Linked DNA regions of Oryza sativa Japonica Group. The protein of the gene in region 2 interacts with the protein of the main gene of each other region in a pairwise test. Links are inferred from orthologs where the notes say so. Each region holds a gene or a part of one and is shown on either strand. Other genes may lie near its edges.

What was found.
Region 1: the proteins of putative protein Brevis radix-like 3 (region 2) and probable protein phosphatase 2C 39 interact in binary tests that used the Arabidopsis thaliana proteins (3 or more experiments, as listed by UniProt). The link is inferred for Oryza sativa Japonica Group from reciprocal best matches to the Arabidopsis thaliana genes BRX and AT3G16560.
Region 3: the proteins of putative protein Brevis radix-like 3 (region 2) and eukaryotic translation initiation factor NCBP interact in binary tests that used the Arabidopsis thaliana proteins (3 or more experiments, as listed by UniProt). The link is inferred for Oryza sativa Japonica Group from reciprocal best matches to the Arabidopsis thaliana genes BRX and NCBP.

The regions. Positions count from the first base shown.
Region 1 is NC_089038.1:20,390,194-20,394,378, reverse strand, and holds the start of probable protein phosphatase 2C 39, read left to right. Parts: upstream 1-1,379; 5' UTR 1,380-1,633; intron 1,634-1,759; 5' UTR 1,760-1,921; intron 1,922-2,031; 5' UTR 2,032-2,160; exon of another isoform or gene 2,161-2,163; intron 2,164-2,951; 5' UTR 2,952-3,083; coding exon 3,084-4,185.
Region 2 is NC_089038.1:30,809,019-30,813,246, forward strand, and holds the start of putative protein Brevis radix-like 3, read right to left. Parts: upstream 2,805-4,228; 5' UTR 2,398-2,804; intron 2,121-2,397; 5' UTR 1,973-2,120; intron 357-1,972; 5' UTR 248-356; coding exon 143-247; intron 1-142. UniProt on the Arabidopsis thaliana protein: Acts as a regulator of cell proliferation and elongation in the root and shoot. Regulates roots architecture and primary root protophloem differentiation.
Region 3 is NC_089037.1:8,647,986-8,651,948, reverse strand, and holds the start of eukaryotic translation initiation factor NCBP, read left to right. Parts: upstream 1-1,152; 5' UTR 1,153-1,237; coding exon 1,238-1,393; intron 1,394-1,550; coding exon 1,551-1,643; intron 1,644-1,734; coding exon 1,735-1,839; intron 1,840-1,942; coding exon 1,943-2,020; intron 2,021-3,963. UniProt on the Arabidopsis thaliana protein: Recognizes and binds the 7-methylguanosine-containing mRNA cap during an early step in the initiation of protein synthesis and facilitates ribosome binding by inducing the unwinding of the mRNAs secondary structures.

The DNA.
Region 1 (4,185 bases), about 10 Mb from region 2:
TTTCGACCACTTTTTAGGTACAAATTTATTAGAGATGGTTTAAGCTCAACATGAACAATACATTTTTGTTAATCTTAAGGTTATTGATCGTGGTGACACCATCAACCCCCATCGACTGGAAGGGGCAAGTGGCTAACAGGGTTTGCAAAAACGTGTAGCAAGAGGCAAGGGGCAAGTTTTTGAAACCATGTTAACCCTCACGGTAACCGCACGGTTACCGTGATAACCGTCTTACGGTGGGGTAGCGATAACCCCACCTAAAATTGTTTGGTGAATCCTGGTGACTAGTCACATATGCCAAACAAATTGAGTTTTGAATCCTAACTCACTTGCTTAGGTACTACTCCCTCCGTACTCATAAAGGAAGTCGTTTAGGATAATGTTTAAGTCAAACCTTGGGAATATAAATCATGAATAACTCTCGAGTTGTGAGTTTGAAAATATAAAAATTATACGAATAGATTTGTCTTGAAAAATACTTTCATAAAAGTATACATATATCACTTTTCAATAAATATTTTTATAGAAAAAAGAAGTCAAATTTATGTTTTGGAGACCGTGTCGCTGTCCTAAACGACTTCCTTTACGAGTACGGATGGAGTATTATTTAACCAGAGGGGGCAAAAGCACATAAGAACCAATAGAAAATCTATCATAGATCAATCTAGCTTATGTTTGTTCTATTCCTAGTGTCATGCACCCATCGAGGCTTGAACACATAACGTTCCTCCACCTCTAGTTAGGTACTTAGGTGTCACAATTGCAACTTCTCGTCATCTGACCTGATCTTCTCAAGCAAATTTTTGATCAATGAGTCATGTATCTTCCTTATCATAACTCGTGGTGTGTTTTTTATGACTGGAAAAAACTGAAAAAGGAAGCTACTTTAGGGCACGTACAATAGAGACACTCGTACTAGTAATCTCAACCTGCCATATAGGATAATACTACACAAAAACCTACCTACAATAAAAACCACTTCTTACTTTCTTAGTATATTTTATATTTCAGAACTGATAATCTACGTGTCGGCTCTTATGATATTTAATTTATATTATGATATCAATTGGAGTTTGTATTATGGATCCTATAATAACAAAAAAAAAGTACATATATACCCTTAAAAGTTAAAATATAGCGAACCCACCTATCAACTGAGTACCCACGTAAATTTTCACCCCAAGGTTAAAGTGAAAAAAATAAGTAAAAAGGAGAACGCGATCTCTCCTCATCCGCCGCCGCCGCGCCCCAATCCTCCTGTGTCGCTGCGATGGTTAACTACCACTCCGATGTGGAGAGCGAGCGACGCGGTTAGATTCTAAGCCTATCCGGTCCGCGAAAATAGAAAAAAGAGGAGGGAAAGGGAGAATGAATCTGTTGCTTCTCTCTCTCTCTTTTCCACCAGACCAGCTGAGCTGAGCCACCACCTCCTCGATATATTCCCCGCAAGCCCACACCTTCCTCTCAATTTCTCCCATTCTCCACTCCACACCCGTCCCGTCTGCATCTACCCGCCACTTCCTCCTCCTCCTCCGCCTCTCAGCTTCTGCTCTTCCTTGTTCTTTGGCCCGCGAGCTGATATCTGCAGTTTGCAACCGAGAAGAGAAAAAAAACGAACCGGGTTTTTTTTTAGGTAAGCGAATCGCGCTCAGGTTTCGTCTGGTTTTTGCGTTCTGTTGCAGGGGGTGCGCGACCTGTTCTAGTGATCTTCCCTATTTCGCGTGCTGCTTCTTGTTGATCCGTGTTGTGCGCTGCGCAGGTCGGCGGGCGGCTAAAGAAAGAAGGGAGCTTTTTGGGTAAAAATTTAGTCTTGTTTTTTTTTCCTTCGCTGGTTGGGGTTGGGGTTTTCAGGGATGGGGGGAAAGGAGGGGCTGCGTCAACTGGCCCGATTCCCATCGCTCTGAACTTGATGGATGCATCTGTGAGTAATCGTATCGTCTGCGCTGTGCGCATGTTCCTTCTTGTTGATTCTCTTCTATCTGTTTCTTCTTTCTTCTCTTATCTGTGTTGTTCGGGGGGTGTTGTGTGTAGGTGAACGCCAAGAAGATTAGTTTCTGTGGGAACACTGGTCATAGCCGCTGTGGTGAAGTTCATCGACCTGCCTGGCCCTGTCGTATGCGGGATCACTCCTTGAACAGAAGCAACCCCTTCTTACTTCAGGTTGTTGCTACCGGCCTAATCTGTCTCTAATCCCTCCGCTCGAGTTCTGTTGCCGTATGTGGTTCCTTAGTTTCTGTTTCCTGATGAAGTTCTTGATTGATTTGGTGGTGGGAGACAAGAAAATTTTAAGAGTAGATCTCATTGAAATTTATGTTATGTGGGTTGTGTCCTCATTTTTCAAGAACTTTGCAAACTGTGCCTGCCATGTTTGGTAGCTTATGAAAATAAAATTCTGATATGTATAAAATGATGCCGTCTATATTTAACAAGGTACAGTCTTGTATAATTAATCTAAAATTGTTGTTGCAGTCATGTAAAAATTTAGGGGATAATATTACCAGTTGCAAATGTCAAACTACTGGGGCGTCTCATCGATTCCTTCCCTGCTTATATTTTGGATGGAAGGATAGTCAAACTAAGGACTAATAGTATTATGCTCAGGGGCAGTTGACGGAAACCATGTTATTCATCAAAGATTCGAGAAGCAATCTTGTTCACATACCTATCAATTACACCTCCTGTACACAACTCTATCACGTTGGACTAGAAAGCTAGAATACATTATGGAGGAAGTCATTCGACCAATTCTAACTTTACCCCTGTATAATTGAATCTGATCCATTAGATCAAAAGTAATGGATGGCTCATATCCATTATAGGGTACTCTAAAGAAACTATAAATTTTGATGAAATATTTCTTTGTTTGGCAACGCTTTGCCGTCTTTATTCTCTACAGTTCAACCATGCTCAGACCGTACTTATATAAATAATGCTTTGTGTTAAAATTGCAGGTCTGGTTTGCGTTTCCATTTAAGTATAAAAGGACCTGTATTTGGCATGGGCTTTAAGTAGCATTTAAACCTTCAAAGCATAGTTTGACAGCAATATACACTACAATCGGTGTTATACTTCTGTTGAAAAAGATGGTGGATGAGGAACTGTTTGATAAGAGCTCCAATGATCACAGCATCAGTTCTGAGGAAGAAGACATGCTTGTCAGGAGTTATAGCAATCTCAACGTCAGCTTTGGATACCATTGTAATTCTTATCAGTGTTTTTCTCTAGACACTGATGAGTATGACATCTCTCCCAACAAGAGGCTTGAAACTAATACCATGATGACATCACAAAATGGATCCTTCACTTGTTTGTCTGGTGCTGCGATTAGTGCCAATTTCACGCTGGCCAATACAAACATTTGCAAGGGTCTTATCGGGGAAGAAATTTTACCAGAACTAGACTCTCCTAATTCTTTCAGAAAAATTGTTTCATCCCCATCAATGTCAAGATTGGACTTGTTATCCACCTCACAAGGCAGCCCTGTATCGACTGAGAGCTCTATATTTGAAATCAGTAAAAATATCTGGAGGTCCAGTGCCCCAACTACTGTCTCATCCAATTTTCTGACAAGTACAGAGATAAAAATGGCTGGTGGAGCTGCTGGAGAGGATAGAGTCCAAGCTGTGTGCTCTGAGAAGAATGGATGGTTGATTTGTGGAATATATGATGGATTTAATGGACGAGATGCAGCTGACTTTTTGGCAGTAACTTTATATGATAATATAGTATATTACCTATATTTGTTAGAGTGCCGGATTAAACAAGAAAATGGTCTATATGGTTCACCAGAGGGCTCTCTTAATGGTGTTAAAAGTGAGTTAACACTGGCCATGAGATTTGCAGAAAATGAAGATGTGAAATTTTCTGAAACATTTCGAGCTGGTGTGCTTAAGTGCCTCACTACTGCTGTTGAGCAAGCTGAAAATGACTTTTTATGCATGGTTGAACAAGAGATGGACGATAGACCAGATTTAGTATCAGTTGGGTCTTGTGTTCTGGTTGTGCTTCTACATGGAACAGATTTGTGCATCTTAAATCTTGGGGATAGTAGAGCTGTGCTTGCTTCAGTGCCGTCTTCAGGAATGGATAAATTGAAGGCTGTTCAATTGACTGAGATCCACTCACTTGAAAATCCATTGGAGTACCAAAAACTTTTAGCTGATCATCCTAATGAGCCATCAGTTG
Region 2 (4,228 bases):
GACAGAGCTAGTAGCATGTAGTAGTACACTCTATATACTGCAGTACTGATGGCAAAGTAGCAGGTGTAAATTCGATCCAGGAGTAGCATGTACGAGAAGAAGTTTAGATCAAGACGAAGAAGAAGAAGGGACAGACGGGTACCTGTGAGGTGAGGGACTTGACGGCATCTCTGCCGTGAGGCGTGGCCGCGCCACGGGACCCGTCCTCCCCGCCTTCCTTGGAGGAGCACGCGATGCATGCCAGCATCTTCTCTGACCCCCTCTCCCTATCTGCCTCCCTCTCCTCGATCGACGACGACGAGACGGATCAATCAGTAGTCAATCGCTCCCCCCACAATCTCACCTTGTGTATCGAACTGCAAAAGTGTGTGCATTAGCGTTACATATATAGTACTACCACAGTACGGCTATCTATCAGAATTGAAGCCGCTGTAACGAAAGATCAAGTTTGATCAGACATGCCGTCATGTAGACACTACAGCCCACGGCTACAGTTGCATGCATGCATGTGATAGAATGTCTATCCATGAGATGGTCAAACTTTGTCGTTGTTCGCATGGCAATAGTACACTTAGTACATGTATAGTACACATTTCCATGATAATTAAACGAGTGCGAGATTTCGTGTATCCACGCACACGTATGTACGACCAAAATAAATACACGCCGAAAGTACGTACTCCTATCAAGTATCAACAGTGACACTATCAGTCTAGTATCCTCTAGCCATAGCCACAATCTACAATGTACTGTAATAACGTAAAGCGGTTTCCAAGCCGGTGTGTGACGCCATTCTAGTACCACACACCATTTGGACCAGACGTGCCATGCCATCCTTGCATCTCACATGTAAGCACGCGAACACGACATCCGGTACACTATGCGAGCACAGAGCTATCCGGCCGGTCCGTGACCACGCACACGTGCGCATGCGTGTGCGTCGGAGGAGCTGTCCTTCCGGCTCGTTGAGCAACAGAGAGCAATGCAAGCATGCGTATGTACGAGAGATAGCTATAGCTAGGGACTCTGGTCTCTGGAGCTTCAATTCGCCACCGGCGTCAAAACGGGGCAAGCTGGCTGGCTAGCTGGTGCAGTGGAGCACTGGAGCCTGCAGCGACAAAAAAGTATAGCACCAGCATAACAAAGCAAGCAAGACCCATGCCAATGGCAGCATCACAGTCGTTCACAGCTACTCCTGCATGCATGGCATGCATTCGCAGGCTGCTCTAACACAGTGGAAGAAACGCTACGCGGGGCAAAGCAGATCGATCGACGGGCACAGGCACAGAGATTCTTTAATCGCCATGCCACATGACACACACACATATACTACTAGTAAATCAAAACTGAAAAGCAGGTTGTAGTAGTAAAATACGGTCAGCTACATTGCGGCAGGGAAGCTTCTGATGTTTACGCGCACATGGAAATTTATTAACCACCAGTGTGCTATGGCTAGCTAGCTCCGCCCGTTTGTGTATGTGTTGTGCACAGTGTTCATGCAGATGAGGCGCAGCTACCCACGCGAGGTAGGCAGGGGCGTATGGGGAAGACTCCAAACGACACCAACAGCAGTAGCTCGGTGGACGAGGCAGGGAGCCGCTCAGATGTGTATCAGCTACAGTCACTGCAGCTGGGGCCCCACGCCCTCCCCCAGATCAACGTACTGCCTGGACTTTATTTTTTTTTTCCTCCTGCTCCATCCCTACCGAGAAAAATATGGGCCCCGGCTAAAGCGACCGGCTATCGAGTGACTGCATTGTGGAGCCCGGTAGGGTTTTTGCTGATTATCTTTTGCGCTTTTTTAATAGAAACACGACGTGATAACCTTAAACACGGTATTGTGTGTGTTTTCTTTTGGCCGGTGGTAGTAATTTCTTTTGTACAGTAGTAGTATCAGCTAGTAATTAATTAATGTTGCTGTAGAGGGAGAGAGAAATGAGAGGCACAGTGAGAGTGATGAGATGATGCTTACAGGTAACTGACGGCCCCCAGATAGCTACGTTAGCCACAGCTCTCTCTCTCCTCCGAGTTTGCTCGCCGTGTAAACAGTGTGCGTACCCAAACCACCTACGCGCGCGCTGACCGGGTTGCTCCGCCTCCTCTTCCTCTCTCTCCGGCGCCTGAAATGATGCAGACAAAAATGTGCCAAAATAAATATGTATACGCCTAGAAGCGAGAGCGGGATGCAAGGAGAAACGGCCTTTTATTTTTGACACCAAGATAAACGGACTTTGACTTTCTGGTGAACAGAACAGGGTAAGAAACGGCATGCAAGACGAGAAAACAAAACATAGAAAAAGTGTAACTCAACACACACACACACAAAAAAAAAGCAAAGCAAAGATAAGACGAAGCATCAAGCAAGCTGGTTGCGTGCGTCGCCGTCACCACCATTACCTTCTCCTCCACGTCGCCGGTGAGCGAACGAGCGCAATTTGCAGCCCGCCGGTCGGCTTCACCTTCGCCGCCCTTTCGGTTTCGAGCTCTGCCTCTGAATCGACTCAGAAGCCTTTGGAGATAGCACAGAGAGAAAGGCCTCCCTTGTCTGGTCGAGGAGTGGATGCGGCTGCGTCAATGGCGCCAAACACAGCGGCGGCAAAGATATCAGAAGCTACGCAGCGACGCTGTCGCCGCACAGAAACAATCTGGGACTGAGTGGGAGATTCCTCTCGCAGTCGCAGGAGAGAAGAGCCACGAAGCGAGAGAGAGAGATCGAGGTGGGGAGGGAGAGAACACTGCGGGCGTCGCGCTGGGCCGTCGGATCCTTCCCCCATATACGACGAGAGGGCGCCGAGTGCACAGGCAGTGCAAGCCGTCTCGTTTCCGGCCCATATATAGTCCCTCCCCCACGGGACACGCGGCGGTCCCCGCGAGATCGCGGCCGTCCGATCCTGCGCGGCGTGTGGTCATCTCCCTGGTCCTGGGCTGGGCCCCACCTACGGTGATTCGCTGCGGGGCCCGCGAAGGCCCGGGCCCCGGCACGGACCGTGGCGATGACGAACGTGCTGCCGTGGCGCGATCAGGACCGTGCGATGTGATGCATATGCTGACGGGGCTTTGTCATGATCGAGGACCGTCCGATCTTGATGGCGCAAAGTACGTCAGCGTGTGCTTGCAAGCCCAATAGGCGAGTAGCCCATAGCGACTGACGGAGCGTGGGGCTCCTCACCGGGAGACCGCGCTGGTCCCCTTTTGCCGGTTCGGCCGGGGACCCTGGGTGAGACTCTAAGCTCCCAATTTGTGGAAGGTTCGCGAGACAGGAAACACACAAGACGCCGGCGATGTATACAGGTTCGGGCCGCTGAGAAGCGTAATACCCTACTCCTGTGTTTTGGAGGATCTGTGTATGAAGGAGCTACAAAGTATGAGCCAGCCTCTCTCTTGTTCTGGGTTCCCAATCTGGAAAAGTCCAATCATCCCCCCTCTAAGTGGGCAAGGTCCTCCTTTTATATCTTAAGGGGATACCACATGCACCATCTCCCCCTCTCTTTCTTCCAATTTGACTTCTCTTCATTAACAGACGGAGATTTGCATCGCCGCCGTCCGAATGACCTTCTGATGGGACGGCCCATACCTACCTCCACTTCCGCCGGAGGCAGGCGCGACGTGGGAAGATGGCTGTCTGCTGATGACTTGACCATTGTCAGACCGGTCACAAATCGGTCATTCTTGTCCACCACGTGTCAGTTTAACAATCTGCATGTTCGCCCTTCTTCATACAATATCTTGCCTGTAATGGTTAGGATGAAGCCTGGCATATATCTGACCGGAACCAACGTGCCATCTCCAGGAGCTAACACGCCGGCTCCAGCTAGGGACGAGTGCTTGGAGGCTCTCGTCCTGACGGGATGGGGCGAGGCGTGCGTCAGACCGCCTGTCGCCACCTAACCCATGATCTGACCGGTCTGTGACTGGTCACAGACCGGATAAACGAGCGTGCTGTACTGCGATACAGGCGGCGTGACGCGCTCGTCAAAACTGCAATAAATGTGGTTAGGTGAGCCCCGCCATGCTCACCTACCCCATATACGTGGCGCAAAACCCACAAGGGGTCGGGGCGCTTCGGCCCTCGGGGCCGAGACGGGAGCGGCCCGACCCCTTGGGGAGACAAAGAGAAGGGCAGCCGTATCACCCTCGGGCCCGCCCCCCCCCCCCCCCCGAGGGAGTTAGGCCACGTGGGTGATCGTGTCTGCCTCAAGTCTCTAAGTCATGATACTCCCGGTAAAGA
Region 3 (3,963 bases), on a different chromosome or scaffold from region 2:
GATTTTTTTTAAAAAAATAAAAAATCAGGCACTATTTTACTAAGTAGACCGAAAATGTTTCACTAAGTAGATTAAAAATATTTTAATCTTGTAAAAGACTGAAATACAACCAAATCACCTCATGAAACATTTTGCTACAACGTATGAAACAACGGTTTCTAAAAAAATAGGCGTTGTTTTACCCTATATAAAAACAATGTTTCAGCAAATAGTGAAAGAATGTTTCAATTTTTTAAAAAAGTGAAATACAGTCAGATCGCTAGATGAAACAATTTGGTTCAACGTATGCAACAAACGATTTAAAGCCATTTCAACACTTAAACCCTGTGTACATCAATAACCATGTGTCCATCAAGATGAAATTATTAAAACATTATAAAAAATCCACTGCAACATTTCATCCATACATAGTGAAACATCGCGAGTACACTAGCTGAAACATTGTCGGTGGAAAAAAAATGAAATGGATCCCCCCTAATAGGATGTTTCTGTTATATCCGGGCAGATGTTGCAACGGAGCGCGCGTGGTGGAAGCAACACGCGCGCGCGGGAGGCGTCCGAGCTATAAAACTAATATCGCGTAAAAGCATTTGAAATATAAAATAAGAGTACAATTTTTTTACACACACATGTACTTGTGAATGTAAGTAATTATCGGTTATCCTTTAAAATTAGATAATCTAAGAAATGTCATTGACAAATGTCAAAATACAAGAAATGCCATCGTATGAATAATTTTGTCCCAAAAATGCCATTGCCGTTAGGGTTCCTCTATCCCATGCTGTTAAGTGATATAGGATGAACAATATATTTAACGACACGAGATGTGCGGAACTCTAACGACGATGTTATTTTTAGAATAAAGTCGTTCGTACGATGGCAAACTCACGCTTGTCGATGATATTTCTTAAATTTGGACGCTTGTTAATGACATTTCTTAAATTGTCTCTTAAAATTAAAATGCTCTCTACAAAATTCCACGGAGGCACAGAGCGAGACGACAACCATGACATTTTAGCGAGTTCAGTCCATCAAACAAAAAAAAAAAGAAAAGACAAACACCGTTTACTCCTGAAAAAGCCCAAAAGGCCGAAACCCACAAGCCCAGTAGGCCACTTTCCGATATTTCCGCGTCCCCCACGAGTTCCATTCCCAGTTCCCAACTCCCATCAACCATCCTTCTCGACTCCACTGACCAAACACCCCAGCGGACCAAATCGCCGCAGCAGGGCGCGCCATGGAGCCGGCGGCGGAGAAGAGGGAGGCCGAGCAGGAGGAGCTGCAGCAGCAGCACGACGAGCCCGCCGTCCCTTCCGCCGACGACGACGAGGCTGAGGCGGAGGAGAACGAGCGCCGCAACCGCGAGCTCAAGGCCGGCTTCCATCCCCTTAGGGTAAGTACTCCTCCGCCGCCGCTAGATCCAGCTTCTATTTCCCTCCCGGAAAGAGGAAAAGTTGTTTCTCCAGCGCGCCTGGAGGTTGAGATCGAGTAGATAGATGTATGTAAGTAACCCGTGTTCCTTTGTTTTTTTTTTACCTGTGCACCCGCAGCGTAGATTCGTGCTATGGTACACGCGCCGGACTCCTGGGGCGAGGTCGCAGTCCTACGAGGACAACATCAAGAAGATCGTCGACTTCAGCACTGTACGTCACCGCGAATTTCTTTTGGTGGGGATTCTCTAATTTCAGGGCTGCAGATTGGATTGCTGATGCTGTTTGGGTGTCCTGTATGTAGGTTGAGTCGTTCTGGGTTTGCTACTGCCACCTCACGCGGCCGGTTAGCCTGCCGAGCCCCACCGACCTGCATCTTTTCAAGGAGGGCATCCGGCCCCTCTGGGAGGTACTCCTCAGTAGTCAGTAAACCGTGTTGTTCTATGTGGTTGTGTTTTGTTTAGAGTTATCTCTGTTATGCTTCTAGTTGTTGACGGAGTTTGGTTGAGCAGGATCCCGCAAATAGGAGCGGTGGCAAGTGGATCATAAGGTTTAAGAAGACCGTCTCTGGTCGTTTCTGGGAGGATTTGGTAAATACATCTGCACTTTACTGTATATGCATTCGGGTTCTCAGGAGACTAGTAATTTAGTAAGTGCATGTCTGTGGTGACAGATGCGAAATAATATACCGATATATACAGTAGTGAAATAGTTATCCACATGTTTTGAAAACTATATAGATGACAGCATGAGATTAGCCAAAACACACACACATGGATAGGGTTATTTTTCCTACAAAAATATGCTGCAATTATCTCATGCATATCCACAGATATCTATGTTATAGTCACAGAATGTTTTGATGGGGGATGGGTGTGGAACATGCCATCATTGCCCAACTCTTTTCCGAGGAGTGAAAAGATGACTCTTAGGATTGATCATGTGCAAGCTTATTTGTAAGCACCTACGTATCACCGCATTACAATGACGCTGCTTAATTTATGCAATTTTGAAGTGGCCTAGTTCTACAAACCTAATATTGCTTGGTTTACAAATATAAAGTATCTGTCTTTTACCATGCCAACTTCACATGGCTACAATGCCAATGCATGATGAGCAATAAGGCCATGGCATAAAAATCATAGGATGGCCATGCAATGGGCCCATATATCCTGTAGCAGGCCAAACCTTAAATCAAATAGCCCTAAATGACACAAGAGGTTGTGCTGGTACTGTTTGTTCATGTCAATATTGTGACATTGCATTGTTTCCATGTTCCAAGACATGATATTTTAGCTTGGAAGATGTGTTTGCCACATTGGGTTTTAGCCATACTTTTTTCTGTCACTATTTCAGTTGCCATGCCTGCTCAGCATTGGTACCACATTCACGCTGCCTTTTTCTTTTGTTCCATTCTCATTTTCATTTGTTCCTTTTCTTTTCCTGCTATTCTGTTCTATCTATTGTTCCTCCTTGATCTCCGTTGTTGTGATGGTCAATTTGGTGTATTCTGAAATCATTAAGGGCCCATTTGAATCACTAGAATGAAAAAAAAAGGAGGAATAGGAAAAACATAGGATTTGGACAGGAATACAAGTGTAAAACAGAGGATTGCAAAACACAGGAAAAATATAGGAATGACCGTTTGATTGGATCGCAGGAAAAACATAGGAATTTGAGGAGAGAAAGACAAAGGATTCTTTTCATGAGGTTCTACCTCATGTTAAGGCCCCCTTTGGTTCAAAGGAAATTCATAGGAATTTTAGAGAATTTTATTCCTATAGGAATTTTTCCTATATAGCCCTTTGAATCAAAGGAATGGATCTTATGGAATCCATGAAATTCCTATGGATTGCCTAATGCCATGCAAGTTTTGGAGGAATTCTAACATGAGGTAAAACCTCTTGGAAACTTTCCTTTGAGTCTTTATCTCTCCTCTAATTCCTGTGTTTTTCCTGCGGTCTAATCAAACGACCATTCCTGTGTTTTTCCTGTGTTTTGCAATCCTCTGTTTTACACTTACATTCCTATCAAAATCCTGCGTTTTTCCTATTCCTATGTTTTCTCATTCCTGCGATTCCAAGGGGCCCTAAATTTCCTCCAAAACTTGTATGGGAACATGCATTCCATAGGAATTTCGTAGGATTTATTCCTTTTATTCAAAGGTTATATAGGAAAAAAAATCCTATAGGAATGAAACCCTCTGAAATTCCTATAAATTTCCTTTGAATCAAAGGGCCCGACTTTCATAGGAATCATTGTCACATCACAGTATGGTACACAACTATATTTAGGTCTATGCCAGATACTGTATAACCTTTAGCATCTTCAAACCTTTTCTGATGGCTTGTTTCATGCCATGATCTGGGACTAGCATGTTCCACATTCAGTTTTCTTTACCTTCGCAGAAGTCACCTTGAGAATGATTTCAAACTGCTAAATGGTTCTTTCAAGGTTCCAATGACTAATGATGCATGAGACCAGCCATATGCATGTAAAAGTTTTCAGAATAATATGTACTTTTCTCAGGAGG